Linked DNA regions of Coturnix japonica. The protein of the gene in region 2 purifies or fractionates together with the protein of the main gene of each other region. This does not show direct contact. Links are inferred from orthologs where the notes say so. Each region holds a gene or a part of one and is shown on either strand. Other genes may lie near its edges.

What was found. The genes of interacting proteins can lie anywhere in the genome.
Region 1: the proteins of ANKRD46 (region 2) and ATRN purify together in Homo sapiens (co-immunoprecipitation; 3 studies listed by BioGRID and IntAct, with this or other methods). This does not show direct contact. The link is inferred for Coturnix japonica from reciprocal best matches to the Homo sapiens genes ANKRD46 and ATRN.

The regions. Positions count from the first base shown.
Region 1 is NC_029519.1:80,786,562-80,793,657, forward strand, and holds the start of ATRN (attractin), read left to right. Parts: upstream 1-3,363; 5' UTR 3,364-3,466; coding exon 3,467-3,792; intron 3,793-7,096. UniProt on the Homo sapiens protein: Involved in the initial immune cell clustering during inflammatory response and may regulate chemotactic activity of chemokines. May play a role in melanocortin signaling pathways that regulate energy homeostasis and hair color.
Region 2 is NC_029517.1:116,428,325-116,435,367, forward strand, and holds the start of ANKRD46 (ankyrin repeat domain-containing protein 46), read right to left. Parts: upstream 4,846-7,043; 5' UTR 4,747-4,845; exon of another isoform or gene 4,683-4,746; intron 4,678-4,682; exon of another isoform or gene 4,655-4,677; intron 4,458-4,654; 5' UTR 4,351-4,457; intron 1-4,350.

The DNA of each region.
Region 1 (7,096 bases), on a different chromosome or scaffold from region 2:
ATCTAAAGCATCTGTGAGCACACAAAGTATTTTACAGCTACTCATCATTATTCATCAGACCTTTGTCCCCCTGCAGCACTTTATTTACTACATTACGCCCTTTATTAAGCATATTGTCTAAAGACCTTTGGTCACTACTTTCACATCTAGAGAAAGAAAAAGAGAAATCAAACCAGAACTCTAGCAGTCTCCAAGCTCGTGTCTATATGTGCCATAATGAGTGGATGAATGATCGTAGAATCCTAGAATATCATAGTCATAGAATGGTTTGGGTTGGAAGGGACCTCAAGGATCATCAAGCTCCAATCACACACACTCTGCCCCCCACCAACCTCCACATTTAATACCCAGTGATGGATGGATGGATATTCTTTTCCTTTCTCCTGCTCTTTGTAGAGCAAGGAGGGTGTTAGGGTGGGCAGCAAGGACACGCTGTTGGACTGGTGTGATCCAGGTCTAGCAAGGGCAGCTGGAAAGGCCATTGAGTGAAGGGAGGATTTGGGAACACAGGGTGGGAATGTCATGTTGGGTGAGGAATAGCAAAACTGGTGACGCTGGGCTGGCAGCTAATTGGAAACAGCTGGTGTCAGGCCCTTGGGAAGGGAGTTATTCTGGAGTTCAGTCCTTCAGCAGGGCTCATCTGAACAGAAGGAAAAAAATGTATTTATAAGGTGGTGCTGGGGCTGTGGCTTCATGTGGTTTTTGACCCCAGGTATTGCTGTGACTCGACCCAATGGAGCTGCAGAGATAAAGAGGCCGAGGGACCGGCCTCGCAGGGCAGCTCCGTTGTTTACACTCCCAAGACACCCAGCCCAACCCTGACTCAGCCCTCAGCAATGATGGTCTGATCCTATTAATATCAATGGAAGTCTTCTTAACGAGGACATAATTTCACCCCAGAGGCCAGTTTGTTAACGAGTGTCTCTGGCTATCCTGTCATTGGGCATGTGAAGAGGGTAGCAACTCGACTTAGACACTGTGCAAATATGTGCAGAGTAAATATGTATTTAATTTAAGTATAGTGACAACATACAGGGTCATAAAAGTTTGGCAGCAAGAGTGAAAAAGGGGCGAGTGCAGCTCCTCGCAACTATAACTCAGTGCTAGTGCTACTTGCCCATTGCAGCCTTGCTTACAATCAGCGTCCAAATAAACCCTTGCTTACCAATTAGCTTTTGTTTTCAAGTTGTGTGACAGTCACCCAAGTGTTATTCTGATGACTTGTGTTTTTTTTTGTTGCTGTGATAAGGAGACTCCTCTGTCTCTCAATTCACTCCTCTTGCTACGCATGGTTTGCAAAAACACCATTGTCTTGCAGCTCCTGCTGCCAGGAAAGGGCGTTTTAATCATTCTAGTACATCTATTACAAAGTATTTCTGCTTTCCAAAACAAAAATAGCTTTGCTTGCCTTCTGAGATAACCAAACCCCTCCCCTTCCAACCTATATTTGTGTGTTGGAAAGTTGCTCGACACACACACACATACAAAAAGACCTTGGGAACGTTATTCACATGTTAAAACTGGACAGATTAAAGTTAATTTAACAATAATGATCTCCCACAGTTAATGTTTTATTCCGGATAGCAACAGGGCACAGTGTGATCCCTAACAAGGTCAGGAAAGGATTTCTCCTGTTGTGCAACGCTGACGGATGTTAGTCTTCTCTGAAGCATTTGAGAATGGCCACCGGCAGCTGATGAATGCTGCAGGAGCTGAATGATCAGCGTGCATTGATGTGATAACACTTTCACCCTATTCTCATGCTCCGGATGATCCCGTACAGCTGAGCTGATCCTTCTTAACCCTTCATTTAAGAGCTGAAGTTGGCTTGATAACACCAACCAACCGACTCACTCCTGCACACATCTGATTCCTTCAGTTGTTTAGTAGATTTATTCTTCTCTTGATTTATCAATTTTAAGGAACAAGCTGCTATAGGAAAAGGGTAGGGAGAGATACAAGGAGAGATGGCATCTTGTGTTGTCATAACAAGCTTAGGTTGAAAAAAATCCCCATGTAGCACAATGTAAACCGTGTAGCTACAAACCACGTAGCACAAAAGCTCTCCTCTAAGTCTGACGCAGTGAAATTCGACTTGAGGATGTGAACAGACTGTTTATTCTCATTGCGTCAATCAGTGTTTTTATTTTCATCCCGTCAATCAGTGTTTTTACTTTCATCCCTTGTGTTTGGCAAGAGAGGGGCAAGCAGGCGTTGTGAAAGTAAAAGTAATTGTTCCCTCTGATAAATACAGGTGGGCAGATCTGGGCAGAGGATGGAGGCTCTAAGGTTGGGCTTAAGATTGTTTTCTTTCCTATCTGCTCAATACCTGTGTTTTCAGTATCCCTGGTGACTTACTTGGAAGACACTGAAGCTCCCACTGAAGAGCCTCTCTCAGCACAGGTAGCTGGTAGCTTGATTTGTATATACAAATGAACCACTTAAAGGCAGTGAGTTGGCAATTTGTGTCTGGTTTGTTGTGACTCTGTACTGCTGGACCTAAACCCTGCTGGCCCTTTTTATAGGGGAAAATATGAGCAAAATTTCATTCCATTAAAACAAAACAACACAAAACACTTCTCAGATGCTGTTAATTTTCTATAGTTGAAACGAGGTGTTAATTACCCAAATTATGAGACTTGGATATAAAGGAAAAAGTATTTTTACCCCTTAAGGCGACCAGGGTCAGTGTGGATGGGGCTGTGAGCAGCTGATGGAGCTGTGAGCATCCCAATTCACTGCAGGGGAGTGGGACCAGACAGGCCTTTAAGGGTCTTTTCCAACCCAAACCATCTTGTGATGGCAGCAGTGACTGGGATACCGATGTCTCGGTATCTTATCGTATTGATATGTTGATTCCCTTCAAAGCTTCTTCCATTCTGGGGTGTGTGTGTGTGATTCCAGTCCTTAGGTATGTCACGACTTGTATTTTTGTACAACAAAACATTAATACATACATTGTTGCTAGTTTATACAGGCATATTGTTAATTATTTTAACTTCTCCTCTTTGGATCCTTTATTACTCAGGTCTTATTTATCCAGCACCAAAAACCAGTAGTTCTATTTCAGACAGCTGGACAGACAGGACCTGCAGTCTTCATACCTGCGACTTCTACCTAATAACAACAAATTGCTTCACTTATATAACGAGACCTTGAAATAAAATACTCTTATCTTATCCTAAATGCAGAAACAACACTTGATTCCCACAGTTTTCCTTCCTTTCTACACCTATTTCACATCAACCCCAACGAACGGACGACCCCACAACGGCCTCACTGAGGTAAAGGGCGGGACGAGCCGCCCGCCCCGCCGTGACGCCATCGCCCGCAGCCCGGCGGCGCCTCCCGGTTCCCCTCCCTCCTTCCCATCCCCGTCGCCTCCTCTTCGGCCACCGTAACAGAGGAACATCCCCCACCCCTCGTCGGCCACCGTCCCGGGGAGGAGGAGGTTCCCCGGCGGCGGATGGTCCTCGTCGTCCCGCCGCCCCCCGGCCGCCCCTCCTCCCGCAGTCGGAGTCGGCGGCAGATGGCGCGGCGGGGCCCGGCTTGGAGGGTTGGGAGGCCTCAGAGGTTGCTGTTAGCGCTGTTGTTGTTGCTATTACCGGCCGTGCCGGGATTAGGGCCAGCCGCCACCGCTGCCGCCGATGAGAAGGAAGAGGATGGAGGAACGGCGAAAGAATGCGACAAACCGTGTGCCAATGGCGGGCGGTGCCAACCGGGCACCGGGCAGTGCGAGTGTCAGCCCGGCTGGGTGGGAGATCAGTGCCAGCACTGCGGGGGACGATTCAGGTGAGGATTAAGGGGGGTCTATAGGATCCCAAGGGGCTCCCAAGGGGGTGCTGGGGAGTGAGGAGGTCGTTTGTGGGCTCTCAGATGAGTGATGGTGTGAGGGGGGGGATTAGGGGGCTCGGAAGGCACAAAGAGCCAATGTGGGGACTCACGAGGAGGTGTTGTGTGGGGGCAGGGGAGCCTCAAGTTGAGGTCTGGGTGTGGGTCTTGCAAGGCATAAGTAGATTAAGTGTGTTTTAAAGGGGTTTGCAAGGGACCAGGAGTCCATTTGGGGGCTCCGAAGTGGGTTCGGAGGCTTCCACTGTGTAAGGAACAAGCGATAGGTGCTCACGAGTTGTAGGGAGCAGAATTAGTGGCTTGCAAATGGGTTGATAGGGTGTGAGGGCTGGGTTTCAGTGTTTCCAAGTTGCAGGAAGCCCATCTACGGGTTCACAGTGGGGTTGAAGGGTGTGAAGAGCCTGTCTGGGGGTTCACGGAGGTGGTGAAGCTCTGAGGGTGGTTGTGCAATGCATTATGAGGGCAGTGGGGTGTAGGTGTAGGGTTGGTAGTGGAGTTAGAAGGGGATATTGGAGGTTTGGGTGTTCCTACCAAGGTCTGGGAGCAGTGGGAGGTGGGTGCAGGGCTGTGGGGAGAAGTGGGAGATGGTAGCAGTGGATCAGGAGTGGTTGTGTTTGCTTTATGTGAGGGCTGGAGAGGGAGTGAGATGGGGATGATTGATGGGGGAATGCAGTGGGGTAGGGGCAGGATCCAGCCAGCAGCAGGTTGCAATGGGGCAGGAAGGCTTAAGGCTGAGAGAGAGGATTGCACGGGGGGGGAGATGCAGCTTTTAGGGTGGGTAAGAGCAGTGCTGGCTCTTGGGGAGGGACAGGGGAGCGATGGATGGGTTTGTGTGGGGTTGAAGACAGAACTGAACCAGCAGCATTGGGGCTGGTGTGCAGGGATTGTTTCCAGGCTGGGACATTTTTTGGGTGGGAGAAATGGCTAAAAAGTGGTTCTTGGCAAAGCAGCCCTGTGTGTTTTCAGACAGCATGTATATATGGTGCTGAGGAGTGATCTCTGGGTTGGACTGTGCTGGTCCAGCACTGTTGGGACCATTTCTAGTGGCAATGGGATGCTGAATTGGGCTGTGTCTGTCCTACAGCTTGCTAGATTGGAAATCCACATGGAAATAGGTTGGGAATTCACCCTGGCTTCACTTAGGTTTGCAGCAGAAGGGTCTGTAAGATGGTGACCTGTTATCAGTGTGTGTCTGCATGTGTTTGGTGAAGTCTCAGCAGGGTTGATTCTTGGGGGAAGAAGGAAATGAAAACGTTCTCCTGGGCAGTGCTGCCTTCTGGGGGAGCTCCTATGGAAAGCACTTAATGTAAATGTGGGGGAAGAAGGAGCTGCGTGCACGAGGAAAAACACTTTGTATGCTTGCGAAGTGGAGCTTCGTACAGATATCTATAATTATCTTCATTCTCATTTGTATTTACATGGGATGGATGCGCGATGCAGCTGATCATAAAGGGATTTTCCAAGGAAACTCTGGAAGCTGAAAGCTTCCTTTTGAGTGTTTATAGCCGGCGTGGTGATAAGTATTTCCCTCTCATCTAGAGAGCTTTTGGAGATAGCTACTTATGTCTTAGCTTCCTCGAGCACTTGAGGATATTTGTAAGTTGAAGGGGACCAAATCTGAATAGAGGCAGAGCGATGTAAAGTGCTGCTGGGTAACAAAAGAGCTGGTCGACGTGTGCTGCAGGCTGCTTTTGTCTGTTTTGATGAAGCTCCTTGTTCGTTCTTTACGCAGATTCCAGTGTAAAAATTACCACTGAAAATTATCAGCCCGTGTTCTTCACTCCATCTCCTTCATTTACCTGTTGGTGAATCGAGGTTTCCTTGTCGTGTTATTTAGACTTTGAGCCCTGAGAAAAGTGCCAGCGAGGGTTTCTCAGCGGTGCTCAGAGCTTTGCAGTGTGCACTGAGCTCACCCTTTCCTCTGTCACAAATGGCATTGCAGCTTTTCTTTGGTTTCTAATTATTTTTGAGGCTGCCGAGAGCTTGGCTTTAAAAGCTTTGCTTATTAAATGCTGCAGGTAGGAATAGGAAGTACGAGGGCAGGTGAAAATTACTTTGTAAGCGTGGTGTATTCCACGTGCTTATCTACACGACCGTGAATTGTAATTAAATACGGCATGTTAATCACTCTGTTCTTTATCTGGGTGTTTGTGATGACTGTATCTGGGGTCTTGGCTGGTTTAGGTTGCTTGCCAGGGCTGTCGTGTCACGTAGCTTGTGCTTCACCCTCACTTCTTCCTATGTGAGCAGCTGGCTTCATGCTGCAGCCCGTGAACACTCTACACACTGAGCAAGTCTTTGTAGTTACAGTGTGGTTAGAAATAAGGCCAGCAATCCAGGGGTGGACTGTTCCCTTTCTTAAACCCTACAAAGGGGAGATTGCTTGCAGTCCAGTGCTGGGGATGTACTTCTTTCTGAGGATATGCAGTGTGCTGTGACTTCTGGAAAGGAAAGTGATGTGGGAGAAGCTCCCATATGGTTGTGTTGGGGGGTGGCTTGTAGCTGGAGGAGGCTCAGGGGGAGACCTCATTGTTCTCTGTTGAATTTAAATGAGGTTGGAGGGAGGTGGGGGTTGGCCTCTTCTCTCTGATAACTGTGATAGAATGAGAGGTGATGGCCTGTGTGTGGGGGTCAGGTTGGATATTAGGAAACATTTCTTCTCTAAAAGAATGGTCAGGCACTGACACAGCTGCCCAGGGAGTGGAGGAGTCCCTGGATGTGTTGAGGAACCATGGAGATGTGGCACTGGGCAGTGTGGTCTGTGGGCATGGAGGGGTGGGTTGGGATTGGGCTTGGCGAGCTTAGAGGTCGTTTCCAACCTTAATGATTCTGTGATTCACGGTGCACTTGGGTGTGTGTAAGATTGAGGTTTGAATGACTTTAGATGTCCCTCTTCAGGATGAGGAAGCAGTCGCCTGAGTTTGTCAAAGGCAGAGCCCAGAAAGTGAAGCTTTGTGAAGTCCTCTGTTGAAGAAGTAAAACCCAGGCTCTGTGACGCTGTTGTACATGGCTTTATTGGCTAGAGGTTGTATTCAGGGTGCTTGCCTTTGGGAAAGGTAACTGTGTGCCTGTTGTGTCTGTGAAATCAGAGTCATTAATGTTGGAGAAGACCTCTAAAATCCCCAACCCATCCCCACCTTGGCCATAACCACATCAGTGCTACATCTCCATGGTTCCTGTACAACTCCAGCACCAGTGACTCTACTGCTGGGTAATCTGATGTATGGTTGTACATGTGAACAGGTTA
Region 2 (7,043 bases):
TAGAATTACCCAGGTTGGAAAAGACCTTGAAGATCATCAAGTCCAACCACAGCCTAACCAGAACCCTAACTCTAACAACCCTACACTAAATCATATCCCTGAGTACCACATCCAAACAGCTCTTAAACACATCCAGGGATGGCGATTCAACCACCTCCCTGGGGAGCCTATTCCAGTACCTAACTACCCTTTCTGTAAAGAACAGCCCCAGCTTCCTCAGCCTCTCCTTGTAGGGCTGACTCTCCAAACTCTTCATGAGCCTCGTTGCCTTTCTCTGGACCTGCTCCAGTACCTCCATGTCTTTCCTGTGCTGAGGTGCCCAAAACTGAACATAAATACAGCATAAAACATTTCTTGTAAGGTTAGCATTGTTTAAGGCACTAGTATATTTCTTAAAACATTAAATGGAAAGCAAGGAAATGCTTACATTTTCAGTGAGTCTGCTACAAAACCTTGGGGGTGCAAAGCCAGAACTGCCAGCTGACAGCGATTTCAATTTTCTTGCCCACTTTGCACCCAAATAATAAATGAGATCAGAACGTTTCAACTCTGGGAGTGCAATCCCTGCTCAGAAAAACACCAGGCCCAATTTCTGCATGGTGTGGCTGTCACCTTCACTTTCTGCACTAAATCTTCCCTAATGTAAGACCATAAATAACACAGAAACCTCCAATTATCAGCATGTTAACAGCATCTCAACAGCACAAAACTCTACTTGTACTTGATAAAATGATCGTGGCTTGCTTACAACGTAGTGTTTGAGTGACTAAACCTCTTCAATAAAAAAAGGCCTAACATATATCAACAACAGAATATTATACTGGAAGAAAAATAGGCTATTTGAGAAACGGTGTGGTACGCTCTGCTAAATTCAGCTCGTGTTTATATTTTCATACCAGATGTGTAGGTCTGGTAAAGCCCTCCAGAATTTCCTGTCACTTCACACACACAACGGTGATTAAACATAAGCTAATAATAACACCAGAAATCCCCTCACCGCTTCTCAGGAAAGGAAGCACAAGGATTCACAGGGACCAGGAAGTGCAACTGCAAATATTTCCATTCAGATTTTATTGTTACTACGATATTTGAGAACTCAGCACTGAAGAGCGGATGACTGAAGTGAAATCTCAGGATTTCACAGTCAGAAAAAACAGTAACAAAAGAAAATAACCCTGCTGTGAAGATCTAATTAAGTAGACTTCGAAAAACATCTGAAGCGTGATTCTCTTTAAATTGCTTCTGAAGGTGAATCAGAAAACAAGGCTGAGCCTACGTGGAAGCTGGCACACTTCCACACTCATGTCACAGCTCAATTCAAAAGGCAGAGCCAAATGCAAGTCTTCTTACTGCTGAAACTTCTCAATTTGCACCAACTGTGGATGGTTTTATTTCACAGAAACTGCATGGTTTTGCCTCATTAGGTTCAACAGTTACCAAACTGCTCCAGAAGAAGGAGCTACATTGTTTGAGCCAGCTCTCCACCACCACAATATGAATGGACTTGATGAGCTGTAATTAATCACCCAGCCACTGCTACACGACTTACCAGTTCTGCAAAACAACACTGTGCCCAAGAACATCCAGAAAATCTGAAGTAATTGTCACTTCAGAATAATGGCACGATGTCAACTGGCACAACAGTTGATGGTGCTCAGTATTAAGACAAACACACCTAGAATTCACGTGTCAGCGGAGTGATCAGCAGAGAAACTGCCACTAACAGTAAATGGAAATGTAACATCAAGGACAAATAACATCTTCCTCATGCGGCCTCAGCAAACACATCATGTCTTGGGTCCGTGTTTCAATTTGCTGCAGATCTTGCAGCAGTCTGTTGGGAAAGAAGCCAACCCCAACTGAGCAACTCACCATCCACAGCACGAGCACTATTTGTATCTAGAAGAATGCTGCCACCAAGTGTACTGAGTGAAGTTATGCATCGTGATGGATAACCCTGGATCCACGCAGTCTGGCTTTTCTAGATTTTATGGTGTTTCCTTATTTCCTCAGAAGAAAAATCACAGAAATCACAGGCTGGTAAGCCAAGCAATGACATCTTGTAGTGAGGAGCCCAAAACTGAACACAGTATTCAAGATGCGGCCTCACCAGAGCTGAGTACAGGGGGATGATCACCTCTCTGCTCCTGCTGGCCACACACTATTTCTTATACAGGCCAGGATGCTGTTGGCCTTCTTGGCCACCTGGGCACACTGTCGGCTCACGTTCAGCTGAGCATCGACCAACACCCCCAGGTCCCTTTCCTCTTCACATTCATCCAGCCACTCATCCCCAGGCCTATAGCGCTGCATGGGGTTAATGTGGCCAAAGTACAGGACCCGGCACTTGGCCTTGTTGAACCTCATCCCATTAACCTCATCCCAGAGATCCAGCCTATCCATATCCCTTTAGAGGGCCTCCCTGCCCTTGGGCACATCAACACCACGTCCCAGCTTGGTGTCATGAAAATCGGGAAATCAGTTTATCAAAGCAGCACTGATAAATGATACACTCACAGCTTCCAAGGAGTTGAAATCTCTATCAACACACTGTGATTTTAAAGAATTAACTGAGCCATGCTGGACCATGTTATACGTTATGGTGAGATGGAACGGTCACACTACTCAGGCTGCATTCCTAATGAATATCTGCTGACGTTGTTTTTCAGAAATAGCTACTTCAGAATGCTCGGAGTACAAAATTTCATCCATACAAACAAACCTGCAGTGCCAGCATCTGCATAAGTTTGTGTCTGAAGGGCCTGGAGGTGGGCAGAACAACAGGCTCCAAGCTCAAGGATAACTGGCAATCCTGGGGAATGACAGGAAGGCCACCCTTTGGCTCCTGGTCTGCACAGAGGCTGGAACCAACCAAGAATGTAATAGACAATGGTTGGAAGGGAGTGAAATGGCTTTGAAACTATAACTACGACATCTGGGAGAGAGACAGCTCAATTGCTGTTAATCAACAGCAGTTATATTCTGCTGAACCTAGAAACAAAAGACCACTGATACTGGTAAAACTTCTGCCTCAAGATAACTTAGCCCACAATTTCATAGAGGCTCAGGATTCTTTTTACCCTAACTAAATCATACCACAGTATTCAGCTACACTGAACTCCCTGTGTCACTGTATTATATTTTACTATCCAGGTCCCTTCCTCAGTTTGGCAATTCATTTTCTAATGAATTTCTCTTTCTAATTTTTCACCTCAATTTTATCTGCATGTGAGAAACCTTCTTTGTACCGTGACTGAGATCCTTAAAAGCCTCTACCAGGGAATTAAATGCTTCCCAAAAATCCAAGAAAGCCCTTATAAATCACATCACCTAAATCTACAACAATAGTCTTTAATCCTTAGTGGAAGCTGATGAGACTTAAAAGATTGTATACCTCTAAAAAGGTACCCAGCTTCAGGTAGAACCAGTCCCAAACAAATGCAGGCAGAGAAAGCGTAGGTGTACAGCTCTCTCTGCACTCGTCTGGCAAAGATGAAAGGCCAAGTGTCCAGGACCACCCATGGGAAAACAATAAATCGGGAGCCTCTCCCAAAACATGCTGCCATTTCTCTATCCCCAACCCATTATGCTGATCTGATGCAGTAAGAGGTCATGAGCATGCTGAACAATGTGTTATCTACACACGCTAACAGATTTTATAATGTGAAATTCTGCTGATGTAGCTGGGCTACCTGGATGTGAAAGATTTGCCTGCTGGTAAGGCTGCTGTAACTACAGCTCTGTTCCCTTAGCTTCAGGTTTCAGTTTGTATCTCTATAGTACTCTTCCAAGCAGCCCTTCCTTCCTGTACTCTACTGATAAAATTCCAATTGACCAAGTCCTACAGCACAGGTTTCTGTGAGGTACTGCAGGGGATCAGAGCCAAACTTTGGTCCCACGTACTTAGTGGACATCTCCTTTAAATGCTGAAGCAAACCCAAACAAACTTGAACTCTTCAGTACTACACATTCTTAGCATCATCACTAAATACTAAAGCAAACCACAACAAACCTGAGTGTTTCAGTATCTGTCCTTTTGACTTATGCCAAAGCAGCATCTCAATGTAAAATAATAACCAATAACTGAAGTTTGGTGCCACAGATGCATGCACTCAAGCCGACCTGTCAGCCTGGCATCTACACTGACAGCGTGACTATGGGTGGTCTTCAGAGAAAGCTGAACACACCAGGGCTCTTGTATTTCACAACATGCATATAAACAGATGCCCTCCAAAATACACTATGCCCACATTAAGTGGAGTATCTGGAAGCAGAGCACAAGCGAGATCATGAATGAGGCAACCAACAGACTCAGTGGAAGAGGAAAGAACCCTCAGAATCCCACCATACCTGAATCCTCAGCAGAGCCACTAGCAGTTCACTCTGTGGTCGACTGGGTGTCACACGTCCCCAGGCTGCAGATGAGGACTTCAAGGCCGCATGCATTCAGAAATAAACTGCACAAGAACAGAAACTGGGTCAGACGGATCATGAATACGTACAACTTCAGGCACTTCTTGAGATCCCTCTCTCTGCCTCCGCATCCTCACCCGCCCGGCAGTGCCCACCTCAGCGCTCGCGGTGCCACAACCACAGCGCTGCCCTGCGGCCTGCAGGCCGCCCGCCCGCCCCGCCTGGTTCTGGCGAGCCCTACCGCTCCCTCTGCCCGCACACGGACACACCGACACCCGCTGCTCCTTCCCCAGCCCGACGGACGCGATCTCCGACCCGAAAGCGCCGCGTTACCTGCCCAGCTTCGGCCGCTCCTCGGTGCATACAGAAGAGCGGAGAGGCGGCGGGGAGGCCGCGAGTCCCCCCTGGCGGTGGGAGGCCGCGCGGTGAAGGCCGCCGGGGCTGAGGCGGAAAGGGACCCTTTGGAGTAGTACTCTGATCCTGTCCTGGAAACACTACAAACTAACCTGTTTTGTGTATAAAACTATCCACTCCCATGTGCCTGAATCACTGTAATCAAATCTGGAGTGTTGTCTTCACCATCCTTTGAGGAACCCTGAAAAAACACTGGAGAGAATCACAGAATCACAGAATGACTCGGGTTGGAAGGGACCTCAAGGATCATGTAGTTCCAACCCCCCTGCCTGGGCCACCAAACATACACCTTTACTAGATCAGGTTGGCCAGGGCCCCGTCCAACCTGGCCTTGAACACCTCCAAGGACGGGGCATCCACAACCTCCCTGGGCAGCCTGTTCCAGGGCCTCACCACTCTCCTAGTGAAGAACTTCCCCCAAGAAGAAACAGCATAAAGGCAATCAGCCAAATCAGAATTAGCCCATCGGGTTCATTTTATACAGTATATAGGTAAAACAGTTTTCCTGCAGAAAGAGTAATTCCAGAAACAAACTCAGTGTAATACTTACAAGAGAATCAAGCTGCCAGCTTCTCAAGCTGTTAATTCCAAAGCTGACCTCTGGGGTTTGATCAGTAGGCAGTTCCATGCAGCAGTTAATCTTATTGCCAACACAGATGTCAACTGAGCAGCCTGCTTCTGTATGGTCACAAACACAGGAATAGAGCCACACATATATCCATAGAACTGTGCTTCTCGAATCTTCTCCAAGAACTGCACCAGAAAGAGAACTAAAATTATTCACCATAGAAACACTTGAAATCCACTGATTGGAAAAGAAAGGGGTTATAAAGAAAATACGTCAGATTCCTAATCCTCTTTCTCTGCTCCAATATAGCCATGCTTGATTCAGACAATCAAGCAATCAGTCTTGACTTAGAAAGGTGAGGGTTTTTTGTTTGTTTTTTTGGACCTGAATATGATGAGCTGAGTCTTCTGAATGCTTATCAGCCATGGTGAGAGGAAGAAATAAAAGTAGCCAGTAGATTATACTGTGAGTGACTATCCCAGCAGTTTGAATTTCATTTTAATTTCCTAAACTTATGCCAAACCAGAACACCAAGTTCTGGCAAGAGGAAGGCCATGCTTCACAGTCAAAGTTCTTGCTAACACTTGGGATCCGAGTTATTCCTTTGGGATATTTTAAAATGATAGTAGAGATAGGAACCTCCTTTTCTATTTGGTAGATCAATATCTAACAGGGAAATGGGAGACCTGGGCCCGCAGCTCAAACCAGTCCACAAAACTATGCTGTGATTTCAGTCACAACCTCTGGCATCTTTGCTCCAAAATTCACTCTTTTAATCTGTTTATATTGTTCCTAAGATACCATATTACCTTTTTAATGTACCATTTTATATTTGCTTTGTTTGTATGCTTTTTGTAGGAACTCAGGGTCTTGCATCTGCCCTTCTGCTGGCTTAATCTAGTTACTTTTTACTTTCTGGCCTGCCTGAAAAGATTTTTACGTATGTTAATTGCAGAAATAGTCAACATATTAGAAAATACATTCTTTTTCACATGCATAAGAAAAGACATATGAAAGCAGCTTTTCTCCCCAACCCCCTGCTTAGATGTTGGGACTAGTTTGCTCTATGCTGTTCTTTCCTCCTACATTAATAGTTCCCAAAGCTACTACAGCCTGACATACCTTGGTCCATCTCTGGTATCAACTACAGCATAACCGCAGCAGGAACAAGATCAGCTTAACAGCAAAGCAAGTTAAATAGTCAGTTATCTGAGCACCAACAGCTAGCTTGGGACAGGACATCTTAACAGAACTGGTAGCTTCAACTCTTAGCTTGCTAAAACCAATTAGCTTTTTACCTTTTCATTGTAGGGAGGAGTAAAACAGACCACAACCACAGCAGTGAGCCATTGAAGTGGCTCAGCTAAACTAACGGAGCCTCAGGGCACTGCCTGACAAACAGAACTTTGGCACCAGACTCTCTATCCCCAGGGTTTATCCTCACCCACAAGTCAGCTCAACTGTTTGCTGTGCATCCAGAGAGGCTGCGGAGCCAGCCTGGGATGAAGACAGCCCAGCAAATCCAAAAAGAATTGGTCAACAACTTATTTTTAGCTTCAGTTATCTCTCCAGCCCAGTTCATTTTGTCTCCTCTCACAGTTCTGTCATTGCAACTGAGGAGGAGACCAAGGTGTGAGGGAATGAAAGG